Danio rerio: one gene and its partner. The protein of the gene in region 1 purifies or fractionates together with the protein of each later gene. This does not show direct contact. Links are inferred from orthologs where the notes say so. Each region holds a gene or a part of one and is shown in the gene's direction. Other genes may lie near its edges.

The links.
Region 2: the proteins of kifbp (region 1) and kif14 purify together in Homo sapiens (affinity purification with mass spectrometry; 3 studies listed by BioGRID and IntAct, counting the BioPlex papers as one, with this or other methods). This does not show direct contact. The link is inferred for Danio rerio from reciprocal best matches to the Homo sapiens genes KIFBP and KIF14.

The regions. Positions count from the first base shown.
Region 1 is NC_133188.1:26,243,466-26,251,358, reverse strand, and holds the start of kifbp (KIF-binding protein), read left to right. Parts: upstream 1-2,820; 5' UTR 2,821-2,833; coding exon of another isoform or gene 2,834-3,280; intron 3,281-3,383; coding exon of another isoform or gene 3,384-3,482; intron 3,483-3,561; 5' UTR 3,562-3,612; intron 3,613-7,449; coding exon of another isoform or gene 7,450-7,529; intron 7,530-7,618; coding exon of another isoform or gene 7,619-7,625; coding exon 7,626-7,802; intron 7,803-7,893. UniProt on the Homo sapiens protein: Activator of KIF1B plus-end-directed microtubule motor activity. Required for organization of axonal microtubules, and axonal outgrowth and maintenance during peripheral and central nervous system development.
Region 2 is NC_133197.1:22,319,773-22,326,298, forward strand, and holds the end of kif14 (kinesin-like protein KIF14), read left to right. Parts: intron 1-1,729; coding exon 1,730-1,795; intron 1,796-2,633; coding exon 2,634-2,775; intron 2,776-2,867; coding exon 2,868-3,178; 3' UTR 3,179-3,573; downstream 3,574-6,526. UniProt on the Homo sapiens protein: Microtubule motor protein that binds to microtubules with high affinity through each tubulin heterodimer and has an ATPase activity. Plays a role in many processes like cell division, cytokinesis and also in cell proliferation and apoptosis.

The DNA.
Region 1 (7,893 bases):
AAGGAGCATTATCTAATTAACAACTTAATGTATCTGGACAAATTATTTTATTATTATAATTATTATTTTCCCTGTAAATATAATGAATGTATCATCAGCATCAGATTGTTTGATTGGCCCAGACTAGACATCTCACACCATCACACATTGCCAGAACTAATTTCCTGTTTTTATTTAATTTTTTCAAAAGGGCCTGTTCACACGTGATCTTTTTTTGGCAATGTACCGGTATTTTTCAGTAAAAGTGTGCATGTGTGAAAGGGGCTATTCTGTAGGGCTTAAGGTGCATGTTGGAAACCAAATGTCCATTACTATGGTGGAATTTCAGCTTCTTTCCAGCCTTCTTAAATAGTGATATGAGAGTAATGATGTTGTCAGTTTTAACATCTCAAGTAACTACAGTGTTTGAAGGTTGAAACAGACATAACCAGGCAGCCAATGAGGACCACAGTTGGGCATTATCCTAAATTGTGACAAACCTACACAATTTCGTGTAGGAAGTGTCTGAGCTCTCCCACTCTTTTAAAGGTTTAAGAAACCCTCGAGTACTTTTTTGAGATTGTAACAGAGTTGTGTGTGTTGAGCATCATTAAGACAACGTTGGCACCAGTTCGCTTTAATTGTGGGAAAAACTGGAAAATTTTGAGCCTTTGTCAGCTAATTTCATCTTCTGGGTTTAAAATCATTATCGGGGCGGGATGAAAATCTGTGATAATGCACCTGTCTGAGGATCTGTCTGTCCAGGGATGACATGTTGGTTTCTCAATATTATTCATAGAGTTTTCTTACGCTATGAGAAGACCCTGCTTCTTAATTATTCATGACCGCACATGCTTTATGGACAGACCTGCCAAGTTGTGAGACGACGAATGGCACGCAGTATATAAATGGTTGTAAAAAGTTGTGTCTGCTTCCATGACCCATGAGGTGTGTTGCATGGCATTCCCTGCAATGGTGTCAGGGCTACTGATACAGCCAACCTGTTTGTGTGTAGCAACTAGCAAGCCTTTTTGTCCGGAGAGCTGTACGAGAATGGGAGAGTGGCAGACTTTGACTTTTATCAGTTAGGTTTGTTACCATTCAGACACATCACCATGCTGCTGTGTTCGACTATATTTAAAATCCACTACATTTCCAGCCAGGGCTAAAGGTTGGAATAGATAGTGAATGAGACCTGCTGTAAGCTACTGTACTGCTCTAGACCTAGGGATTCAGCAGAAGGGAAGTCCTCATTATTTATAGTGTTTATTTACTTATTCATTCATTCACTTTCTTTTCAGCTTAGACCCTTTATTAATCTATGGTCGCCACAGCTAAATGAACCATCAACATATCCAACACATGTTTAACGCAGCGGATGCCCTTCCAGCCGCAACCCATCTCTGGGATGCATAGTGTTTATATAAACATGATTATAATAATAGAACAAATTGTGGTTATGTAGATATATTATATGAAATTACAAACAGTATATCATACATGTAACCGGGCATTTAAATACTGTTTATTTCTTTTGCATTTTAACTTTGTAAACAACAAAATCATGCCATCTCATGTTTTGTGTCAGAATTGTTATTGAGCCAACTGACAGTTGTACACCCCCTCTTTTTTCCCTGCTCTGCCCACTCCTCCCTTCTGCTCACAGCACTCCACCATAGACTTTAGAAAGAAGGGGGTTCATGACACTTTTTAGCAGGTATTTATTTTAAGCACACGTTAAAAAGTATGTAGCTGTTATATGAATGTGGAGTATGCAGAATAGATTTGATAGTTATCATTATCATCTAACCTACAGGCATCAGTTGCATCACTTCACTGTTTGTAATGATTCATTTAAATATCAAAAAAATACTTTTAAGCAAAGATGTTCTAATCATACATTAAGCCATTTTCATTATTTCCAATTATTTACTTTTTTCTTATATGTAGTTACTTATGGGCTTAATTTTCTATTGAAAAAAAAACTCCTTCACACTGCAAAAAACATGACGGTTTCATTATTGTGTGTTGTACCAAGTACTGAGGTCTGTGTTTAATTTAGGTCACTTATGTTGTGAGTGCTGTGTATCTATGGCACAATAGCTGCTGTGTATCTATGGCACAATAGGCTACAGACAATAACAAAAAACTACTGTTGTTTACTTAAATGTTAAGGATACACTTTAAAGCATGGCTTACTTTGGTGGTGAATAAGTAAACTTTTAAACACACAGTTAAACATAATAAAACATTCAAGTGACAAAGATTAAGAAACAACGTTACTTCCACATAATTTGCATTTTACAGAACATGGTTAAGAGAATTTTATTTAGGCTATTTTCCCCCAGTATAGGGAAGTAATTTAGACATTGCTTTAATTAGATTACTGACAACTTGTTTTAGATGGTTCAGAATCTGTTATTTCTAAGTAACACGGGGACTTTACACTTGAGATATTTTGACCACACGGAGGAAAAACCGCAAATGTGGGTACTGGAACAAGCCCATGTATAAAGTACTTCACCTGCCACATCCGCCAACAACTCACACCCCACAGGAAGCCTGTTTGTTTACATCTCTGACTTTCATTGACCTGTAGATGGAGCCAGAGAATCTGGAAAGAACAGAGAGTCGGAAAGTAAATCCAGCCAATAATAACAGACACATAATAAGTACTAGTCACATCGAGACTTTATGATGAGATCATTTCATATGCTATTTTAAATGAATCAGTAACTAATATGATATTTTAAATAAACAAGTAACTAAAGTAAACTAAAACTACTAGCTGTGCGTTGCTTGTGTCTCGGGACTGACCTCTGCTGGTGAACACTATTTATTGCTAGAGGGAAACATGGCTGCCAACAACAGTATCGAGTGGAGGGCCGTGTGCGAGAAATTTCGCCTTGCCCAAGAGCTTTCCGAAATAGAGTCGAAAAAAGACCCAGAGAATAACCCTTTCCGATCGAAATACAAAGCCAGAGATCTGCTGAAGGAAATCCACTGTTCTTTGAAAAAGATTGAAATCGAGGAGCAGGGCGAGGCTGGGGATGAAGCGGACTGTGAGTCCAGCCAAACGGCGGATGGTGAGCCGGAGGATGGTTTTGAGAAAACGTTCACTGGAGACTCTGCAGCCGGCCTGAGAGCGGCCAGGCTCGCGGTGCTGCAATATCATCTCGGCGTGAACCACATAGAGACGGAGGAGCTGTCGGCTGGAGAGCTGCACCTCATGGTCTGCATGAAGCTCATTGACAAGTGCACCACAACACGGGAGAACGTCTCCTTATTTATACATGTCCGGGTAAATTCACACTACATGGATTATTATTTTCTAAAAAGCCTGGTATGACTCAATAAACGTGCTTCTCTTGCTGGTTGACGTATGACGATTGTGTTTTTGACAGAATCAGCTCGGCATTTTGTGGGCGGGAAGAGATGAGATTGAAAAAGCACAAGGATTTCTGGAGATTGCCGAAACGATGTATTTGGTCTACATGAAAGAGGTGTGTTATGCGTGTTTGTTTGATTGTGATGCGTGTGAGCTTCAGCTGTCAAAGTCTTCCTTACCATCAACAACTGCAGATGCAGAGCGTCAGATGCGAGTTCCACATGACGTTGCTATGACGTATTGAGGTAAAGTTAGTTTTACATTCACACAGTCGGACTTTCTCCTTAATAATATTTAACAAAAAAATATTGTTTACAAATTCTCAATAGTGAAAATCATATTAGCAACCACTGACACTGAAAACCTTACCTAAATCTTTAGCACAGCAAGAGCCTGGCACAGCCTTCACACTTGAATGAGTGAAATTTGGTAATCTGGGAGCTCCAGCTGTATTGATTAGATTTATCTATGTGTAAATCTAAATTAAACTATTTAATAACAACTTGAATCAGAAATTATGGCTTCATGATATTTAGCTGTACCCACAGTGGACCAGCAATTAAAATGGATCTACTGGAATGAGCTCTGGGCGCCATCTTCTGTCAAGATGCACAACCTTGTAAGTGTACACTATTGCAGTGCATTGTGGGACTGAATGAGTGCACTTGATAATCACTAGCTGCGTCCCAAATGGCACACTATGCACTTATGCACTATGTACTTATGCACTTACACTTCCAACAGCATAGTATATGTATGTAGTGTCGTCCCAAATGAAACACTACGCAGAAATTCAAACCGCTTCCCTGATGAAGTTTGACGGTTTCCAAATAAATGACCAAACAACCACATAATACCTGCCGTGAGTATAACCTCATTCACTATCGGGAGGTGGTATAATCTCTCTCAGAGGAGAATTTTGCTTTCATAATCCAAAATAAATATATCCAACATGTGCCTCCGATGGCTCCGCCCCTCCCGCTACCATAAGTAAGGCAGCGACTGTGAATTGCGTGAAGTGTCCATCATTACACACCTACTTTTATCTGTTGAATAAGTGCATCATCCGAGTAATTAGAGCGCACTTATTATTTTTAGAGTTTTCAGTGTGAACGCACTACTTACACTATTTCTACTACAAAATGGCGTAGAATAGTGCAAAAGTATGTGATTTGGGACGCACCTACTGTCTGTTTACTCAGATGGGGTATGTGCACACAAACTTTTAATTTCAGTCAGCCCCAGGGCTTCTGGTGAATTTTCATCCCATACAAAATTGCAGTGTTAAAGATCTGATATCTTTAAAAAACAACGATCTTCAATGCCTAGCTGAGATAAGATATAAAATGGGTATCCGACCAAAAAAGAAGCACTGCATTTAATTATATTTTTACCACACCGTGTCTTTAAAATATGGAAATTAATTTTACCCCAGTATTTTCAATGGAGCATCTGTGCTGGCCTGCTGCTAATGAAGGCACCTGCGTTTAAACAGTCTCTTTTTATGCATTAACAACCAAATGAATGCTTAAGTCTAATAAACTGATTATATTTGAATTAATTATGAAATTGAAAATAGTCACATAAACCTGTCATCAGAAGTTCATCATTAGCTGAAAAACACTAGCTGTGCATACAGCCCATTCAGCCCTAATGATGTGGGGCAGTGTTGCCAGGTAAAGCTGATTTTTCCAGCTCAAAAGCTGTCGGAAATGCACATAAAACTCCCAAAATATTATATTAATATTTTATTTTATTTTAGTTAATTTAAATCGAAATTAACCTGGTTACTTTAACTGTCATAATTTTTAACCATACAGCAACCAACACCTGCAGTCACAGAACCAAAACATAACTGGATCACATCGAAACACTGCCTCCTTCTCACCCACACACTGCACTGCACTTAATGTTAGAGTATGTTTTTACGAAATGGGGTATAAATTTGTCCTATTTGGTGTTTTAAATCCTTTTGAACATATTTAGGGGCTGCTTGTCAATCAGACAATGCTTCTGTGTTTGTTCTTGCTGTCAATTGTGGAAAAAAAGATCGATATAAGTGTTATGATAAAGTGCTGTGAGTTTAACTGCAGGCGCTGCGTAATGCGTGTGCACACGAAGGCGAGTCAGATTTGTCCTTGGACTTTCTTTCCCCTCCTCTTACGGGTGGGCCCACTCGGCTTGCACTATGCACCAGTCACTACTAACTGAACGGAGTAGGAGCACACAGTTATGTTTTGTTGAATATTAAAGTTGCATATAAAAGTTATATTTTTTTAAACCTCCCAAATTTTGTCAAAAATTTTTTTTCTTTTACCTGCACAATCAAATACAAACTGCCTAATTGGGCAGGAAATTACCCAATCTGGCAACACTGGTGAGGGATGATTTGGGACCTTGCTTAACGTCTGTTGAATTTTCGTTGATATTGTGAGAGTCAGTTACTATTAGCGGAGAATATAGAAATCATAAGTGACATACACTATATCTTCTCTTTCACAAAATTACTAGTGACTAACAAAACAGTAGAAGGTATAAAAATAGTAGTATAAATAGATCAATCAAATCTATGTTTAAAGGGTAGACATGTTGAAGATTAGCTGCTGCAGATCTGAGTAATGGCAGAGCAGTAGCTTTAGCTATTGTGCTGATCTTGGCAAAGGGAGGCAGGTACGTTTTCCAGTGGCTTTGGCTCTATAAACTGAACAAAATGTGCTGAGTGGTTACTAAGACTGAAGCTGATAACCACTATATTAAACACCTTTAATAAAGGAGAAAGGTAAGTCATATTAAAATGGTAATGTGGAAATAATTTTAATAATTAAAAGCAATATACACAATCAAAACAAAAAATAAAACTGTAAGATGTTGTTTGTATCTTTAGATACAATATTTTGTAATATATTGATTTTATGTGAATTTACAGTATTCCATGACTCAGTTTTCTTTTTTTTTTTAATTAATTATCGATATGCCGTAGTTGCTCGTTTCTTATTGGCGTGACAATTAATTCTAACAAAACTAAAGTAAACAGCACTGAATTTTGCATAGATACACAAATTGGAGTACATTTACATTTTTAAAAATAGCTTTTATTACCATGCATATTTATAATTCATATTACAGAGGTTTCTATAATAATGTCTGATTCACTCAACGATATGGGCTGAATGTAGCTGCATGAGCTTTTTGGTCTATTTGTGAATGTATTCATTAAATATTAATATAATACACAATTAGATTTTTTTCCATATAGCTCTTTAAAATTATTTTCCCTAAATTCTGTTATATTTATTTTACCAAATAACAATCATTTAGTACAGAGATGCCCAAAGTTGGCACAAGGTAACCTTTGATTCGGCCCGCCATCCCATCTGAAAAGAGAGGGAGAATGTTGGTGGTTGGGGCGAATGTCCTTGACAGATGTCGTCATTTTGAAATTTAAATTTAAAGTAATCTTTTGTTTCTTAGTTTAATTCCTGAGCTACAAAAAACGCAACTGAAGTTAAATGATTCAATTAAATGTTGTAAATGAATTAGACTTTTAAAAAGTAAATATTGTCACTTGACAAACAGTACATCTGACATCTACGAGCATATCAAAGTAAAGGCAGGTGCAGCTCAACTAGTGTATTCAACATTGAGCTCCATTGTGTTATAAATGGAAATGTTTATGTTTTTACTGTAAATAGCTTATTATAAAATGTTAAAAACAATGCTGCATTAGATATTAAATACAATTCGAATCAACGTTATCTTTTGTTTATATTATCGAATAAATGAGGCAATTCCCCTTGGCAAGTTTAATGTAACACAGGTTGGTATATTTTTAGCTCACAACCCTCAGTCAAGTTTTGTTTTTGACCCTTTATAGGAAAAAGTTTGGGCACCCCTGATTTAGTTTAAACAAAAATTCAATTATAACAATTGAATGTTTTTCCATTTAATACTTTTAATTGTTGTGATTCTACCCTAATTTTCTACAACACAAAAATCACAGGGCACTAATAGCCATTTTTGTCTCTCTATGGGTATCAGTAAATGATATGAGATTTGTGTTTTGTTTGCTTTATGCACATTAGGATGGTCAACCACCCCTGGATCTTCAAGACTTTTTTGTGCCAGAAGGAGAAGAATTATCCCAACAAGAGAAGATTAGAAGGTAACATCCCTCTCTTTAAATATACTCAATAAAATGACTATGAACCAGGAGTATTTTAACCCCACGTTTTCCCCATATGTGCCGAATAGGTTTGAAATGGCATATACGCACACGCTGTATTACCTGGCTCAAGTGTACAAGAATCTGCAGCAGTATGAGAGAGCTGCACAGTACTGTCACAGCACCCTACAGAGACAGCTGGAGTACAAGCAGTTTGCGCCTCTGGAGTGGGCCATTAATGCAGCCACACTGTCACAGTACTACATCACCAAGGTACAATTCATATACAGGTTGATTAAAAGAAGTATTACAGTAATTAGCAATTGTGTGGTCCATTGAGTTTATGTATCTTATTCGCTTCAGA
Region 2 (6,526 bases), on another chromosome or scaffold:
AGAGTTCACCTGTGGTAAATTCAGTTGATTGAACATGAATTGAAAAGGCATACACCTGTCTAAATAAGGTCCAAGGGTTGACAGTGCATGTCAAAGCACAAACCAAGCATGAAGACAAAGGAATTGTCTGTAGACCTCCGAGACAGGATTGTCTGGATGCACAAGGCTGGGAAAGTTATAGAAAACTTTCTGCTGTTCTGAAAGTTCCATTGAGCCCAGTGGCCATCATCATCCGTAAGTGGAAGATGTTTGGAACCACCAGGACTCTTCCTAGAGCTGGCCGGCTATCTAAGCTGAGTGATTGGAGGAGAAAGGCCTTAGTCAGGGAGGTGATCAATAACATGATGGTCACTTTGTCTGAGCTCCAGTGTTCTTCTGTAGAGAGAGGAGAACCTTACTTACAGAAGAAAAACAATCTCTGCTGCAATCCATCAATCAGGCCTGTATGGTAGAGTGGCCAGAAAGAAGCCACTCTCTACCTGGAATTTGCCAAAAGGCATCTGAAGGACTCTCAGATCTTAAGAAACTAAATTCTCTGGTCTGATGAGATTAAAGTTGAACTTTTTGGAGTGAATGCCAAGTGTTAGGTTTGGAGAAAACCAGGCACCGCTCATCACCAGGCTAATACCATCTCTACAGTGAAGCATGATGGTGGCAGTATTACGTTGTGGGGATGTTTTTCAGCAGCAGGATCTGGAAGACTAGTCAGGATAAAGGGAAAGATGAATGCAGCAATGTAGAGACATCTTCAATGATAACCTGCTTCAGAGTGCTCTTGACCTCAGATTGGGCCGACGGTTCATCTTCCAACTGGACAATGACCCAAAACACCACCAAAATATCAATCGAGTGGCTTCACAACAACTCTGTGAATGTCCTTAAGTGGCCCAGTCAGAGCCCAGACCTAGATCTTATTGAACATCTTTGGAGAGTTCTGAAAATGGCTGTACACCGTCGCTTCACATCCAACCTGATAGAGCTTGGGAGGTACTGCAAAGAGGAAAGGGAAATTTCTAAAGACAGGTGTGCCAAGCTTGTGGCAAGATATTCAAAAAGACTTGGCTGTAATTGCTGCCAATGGTGCATCAACAAAGTAGTGAGCAAAGAATGTGAATATCTCCGTACATGTGAGTTTTTAGGTATTTTATTTTTTATAAATTTGCAACAATTTAAAAAAAAATCTTTTTTTCACTTTGTCATTATGGGCTATGGATACTTTCTGGATGTACTGTAGTTCATTTACTGTGGTTAAATTATAAGCTCTCTTGTGATTTTTATTTTTTAAAACAAATTCAAAGGCTAATAATTTTGCTTTTAACTGTACATAGTTTTATTTTCTTGTGGTAAACAAACAAAAAAATGTAGACTTTTTTTGTAATGAAAAGAACAGTTGGATTCTCACCCTGTAATTTAAGGTGGTGATGCAACAGTATACTACAGCATGTGTTTGCATTATTTTACAATAATTCAATGTGCTGGAGTCAACTATTTTACCAATACCATGGGTGCCTTTAGATTTATTTGATTTGATTTTCGACAATTGTAGGTTGTGAAATTATCATTCTGTTTGAATGAATTATCATTCAAGTCATTCTGTGTAGTGATATAGAACTGTAATTTGGTCAAGACCTGTCTAGAACTACTTTAGCAGTGGATTTATCTTTATTTTAATTGATATTGATGTACACTTCAGCATAGTTGTATAAGTTGTCATGTTTTTGTTTTACAGCTGCAGATCTCTAAATGGATGGATGTGGCCCGCTCTCTCCAGAACTACCTTCGCTGCTGTTTGTCGGTGCGTCTCACAAACAGCTGTTGTTGTCATTGAGGTTAACACGTTTGGATTAATGACCGAGTGGGATGCCGCTTGTAAAACGTCAAACCAAAGCGCTCTTATCGCATGTCTTGGGTCGTTTCGTTGTTTAGAAAATAAATAGATTGAGTGGAGTGTCGTCTGTCACCTTAATGTGGCTGTAACTGTTATCTTCAATACACAAACTACAGGCTCACCGTTATTGTTCTGCTAGAGAATGGGATGCTGGGATAAGGAGAAATGAATGTGTCCCACATAATCGCTCATTTTTTCAAACCTACAGTCCTAAACTGTTTGGGCAAAAGCAAATAAGAAACCCATATATATTGGGGAGTTTGTTTATGTTGTTTTTACATATGATATGCTAAATTACAATTATAATATATAATATTTGTAGGTTTGATGTAGTTTTGTTTTTTTTTTGTTTTCGTTTTATTTGTTATTTTAGAGGTTGTTTGATTTGGAGGGATTTTTGTGTTTTTTATTGGAGATTGGGGAGTTAAAGTTGTGTGCTTATTATTATTATATATATATTTTTTACTTATTTATATTTGTTAAGCTTAGGGGCAGCTTTTTTGGTTGGGTGAAGTTTGGTGTGTTATTGATTATTATTTAGTTTGGTATTATAATCTCTTGCCTGTAGAAGTGGTAGGTGTTTTTTTTTTTTTAGTTTAAAGTGTGTATGCTTTTATTTACGTATGTAAATATGTCTGTGAGTGTCAGTTTATTTATTTATTTATTTATTGTTTAACTGTTTTAGTATGGTTTTTGTGTTGTGAACTTTCCCTCTAAGAGATGTTCTACATCTTCTCTTTCACAGAAGAGCTCAGACTCCTCTGAGAATCATTGTGTAGATTATGAAAGCTCAAACTTGTATGACATTCAAAGCACCACTACCAAACTCCTCAAGCTGAACCAGGCTATCAAAGATCTGCATTCGTCTCTGTCACGGTTTCTGAAGGGTAAAGTATTTTACATTGCCGTATTCATACACCAAACCCTTCACAGTTACAGCAAATATGACATTAGTTCACTTTATTGATGTACATTACAGGTAGGAGAAGCGACACTTCCCTTAGTGAAGCGATACAGTCTTCATCCCAGACTATTGATAAAATCATCAGCAGCCTTCCTCATGAAATAACAGGACATTCAGATGGTCTTCAGCTTCAGGATGACGTTCAATCAGCGCTCCAGGCTTTGCTAGCAGTGTTTTCTAACAGCACCGATGAAATTCAGAAGCCGACCACAGACAGACACTTTGTTCAATCAGGTTACAGCAGCAGAAATCGAACCGTCCCTAAAGTTGTGTATTCTCTTTCCTCAGGCATTAGCACATGCTCCAGAGACGCCCGATGGGTGTGATTTAGTTAAGTATATAATGATTTTTGGCATAACTGCAAAATTGTTATGTATATTCTGTTGTTTACTGCACTCATACTGGTCTACCATTGTTTGCCTACAAATTTTGTCTGATTTCTTTGATGGATTTTAATGAAGGGCTTAATGGTACAGCTTATGAAAAGAGGTTTCTGTGTATTTTGTATTATCAAGCATTATCAAAGCATTATAAAAGCTAAATGAGAAAACACTTCACTTTCTGGATATATTTTGCACTTGAAACTTTTGCACAGGCTTTGTCACAGCTGTTTTTCTACACATGGAGATGTGAGTTTTAGCATTTGTAGCAACATGTACTCTGGATCATGTAATTGTTTGATAATAATTTATACTTTCAGTAATAAACACTCACTTGGAACGAGGTCTGGTGTCTTGATTAAACTTACTACATTTCTTTACCATCCTTAAAGTAACTAGAGGTTTCTTAAGCGACTTAAGATTGTAAATATGGTTGGTTCTTAAATCACTATAAGGCTTGGCTTCTTATCTGTCAGACCTGTTGACTGATCATCAGCCTGGTCAAACCAGAGATTACATTCTAAAAACGTTGAGTAATTTATTTAACCCAATGGATGAATTAAAAATATTTGCTGCTTTGTTGGGTTATTTTTTAACCTTTATTGGGGTATTTATTAATAACAAATTGGGTTAAATATTTGGTGCTTTGTTGTGTTATTTTTTAACCTTTATTTAGTTATTAATTTAGTTACTCAACCAGTTGGGTTAAACAGATTTAACTGATACAGAACAGCTGTATTAATATGCATACGTTATGTTGTTTTTGCATTTTAAAGTTTATTTAAGCTCTTAACGCAATAAGTTATTTTTTTTTAGCAAATTATCTCTCCGTGTCGTGTAGTGTTTTTTTTTTTAAATATATATCTGTTTCACCAGCACTCTTATTATTGATGATACAACTGTGCAATTCATAGCCAATCTATATTAAATCATCTACAGTTTTTTTTATTAGAAGCTTTTGAATGTGGTTTAAATGTATTTGTACTTAGTGGACACTGAGTGAAGCCTGCTGCAGCTGCTGGACAGTCTCTACAGCACACAGAACTCTATATTCTGCTCCATCAGCACATGATTTTCTGCTTGCAGTTGCTGTCTGTACTTTGTTCTGTTTTTTCATTGCTTGTGATTTTTGAGTTTAACAAAGTGTCTGGAACTTAAAATGTAACGGAAATAAAGCATTTTCAATATTTTTTAAATTATGTTATTTATTTACAAAGCCATAATTATGACGTTAATATAGCCCTAGTTAGTAATGGTAGCAATAGTAATACCAGAATGAAAAAAATAACATTTAATGAAAATACCAAAATGCATTGGGTTAAAAAAAACCCATAGAAGGTGCTATAATAACCTATAATTGGGTTATATCTTGGGGTATTTTTAACCCAACTATTCCCAGACAGCACACATACGTTGGGCCGACGTCGGCCGAAGGTCAACACGTCGGCCCCTTTAATTCTAACATCGGTATATGGTCGGCCAAACATACGCATGATCGTTCGGTCGTGTGTTCTATTGTTCCAGCTCAACAAACGTCGGCTCTGCATCGGTTAACGACCAGAGGCCGACGAAGCACTTCATAAGCACTTTATCTCTCATGCCCATGAAGGAATCCGGCAACATATTTGGTTTACAAGTAAGTTTTTGCGTGCATAATAAATTAGACAAACGCGACATGCATCATGTCTACTGCGTCGGTCGGTCCAGCTTTAAATAGCCTACAATAATACAGTAAAACTGACCAAAATGCCTACAATACATGATTTCAATTAATTAAAATATAAAAAGTTTTGTTGTTATGCTTAAATAATGAAAACGTTGTTTTTTTTCTGGTGTTAACTGCTGTTTGCTTTTTTTATTGTGGCTTTTTCTAATACATTTTTCCCAGTGTAAAAATGTTCTGCATGTTCGGCTGTTTAATTAAAATAAACACCTTTTTACAGAGTGACATCTTTGTTTTATATATACTTGCATTTATATTTATTGGTTATTTATTTTTGACAGTGAATCTGATGCACAAATAGGCCTAAGTGTTTGTTTTGTAACAGTTTAGTAGGCTATAAAGCTCGTCTTAAAGATAATAGCGTATATAAAACTACTAAATACATTTTTAATTCAATATATAAAATACAAGGTTATTATTTAAATAGTCTATGGAGTGATCATGTTTATAAATGTAATACTGCATGACTTTGATGTGCGCGCGCGCGTCTCATTCCAACACTGGAGCGGAGGGGATGTTGCTATGGGAAACGAAGCTACAACACGACACGACACCACCTGAAAGACACAACACGACTTCTCTCAAGCTGCCGTTTTGACAGTTTTCAGGTAAGTTTAGTCCCTAAAACAAAGCAAATACTACATAAAACTGTTCCTCACACTTTTATTATTGGCAATTGATGAATATTCAGTTGAATATTATGTTATATAAGAGTGGTAAGTCTTCGTAAAAGTCCGTTAGCATATTAGCACTGGTAACGTTAGCGTCGGGGTAATATTACGTTAACTTACTTAATGTTAGCTCTTGTTAAACTTGTTTGTTAAAGTTTTGGCTTTTATTTATTCTTTATGTGTAGATGAAAGGTTTTGTCAATGTTTTATTGAATGCACTTAATATGTAGTCTAAAATACGCATTGTTACGTTACTGTAAAGGAACGTGAATCAAAAGTTCAATCGTGTTTTGATATTTCATGGTATCTTAAACAAATGTTAAGTAAAAAAGTGTTCTGTGGTTTCAGGAGTGAGAGAATAACCCCCTGCTACAGAAAATATAACACAAGATTCCTAAATTTCTGAAGGGAGCTGATCACAGAGATGCAGAAAAGACAGGTAACTTTAAGCAGAGGATTAATTCATATGAATTTCCATTGCACATCATAATGCACATGTTACATGTCTATATATTATGCATCTGTTACTTGTCTTTATTGCAGTTATTTTAAGATAGTTTTGACATTGAAACATGTTAGTGGTATTAAATTTCACATCACATGATTCTTCAGAACTTAGTAAATATGCAGATTTGCTGCTAATGAAGTAATATTTGTGATTTTCATTTTGTTTAATTTTTTATGATTAATTGATTTATTAAATCTTAGAAAAAAGTTTACACTAAATTATTTGTCATCACATCTGTTTTTAGCATTGATAGCAATCCGAAATGTTTCTTGAGCAGCAAATCAGCACCATTTGATAATCACCATTATATTAGTTCAACCTCAAGCACTAAATCAACATCTTAAAAAAAGATTTCTGAAAGATCAAGTGACACTGAAGACTTGAGTAATGAT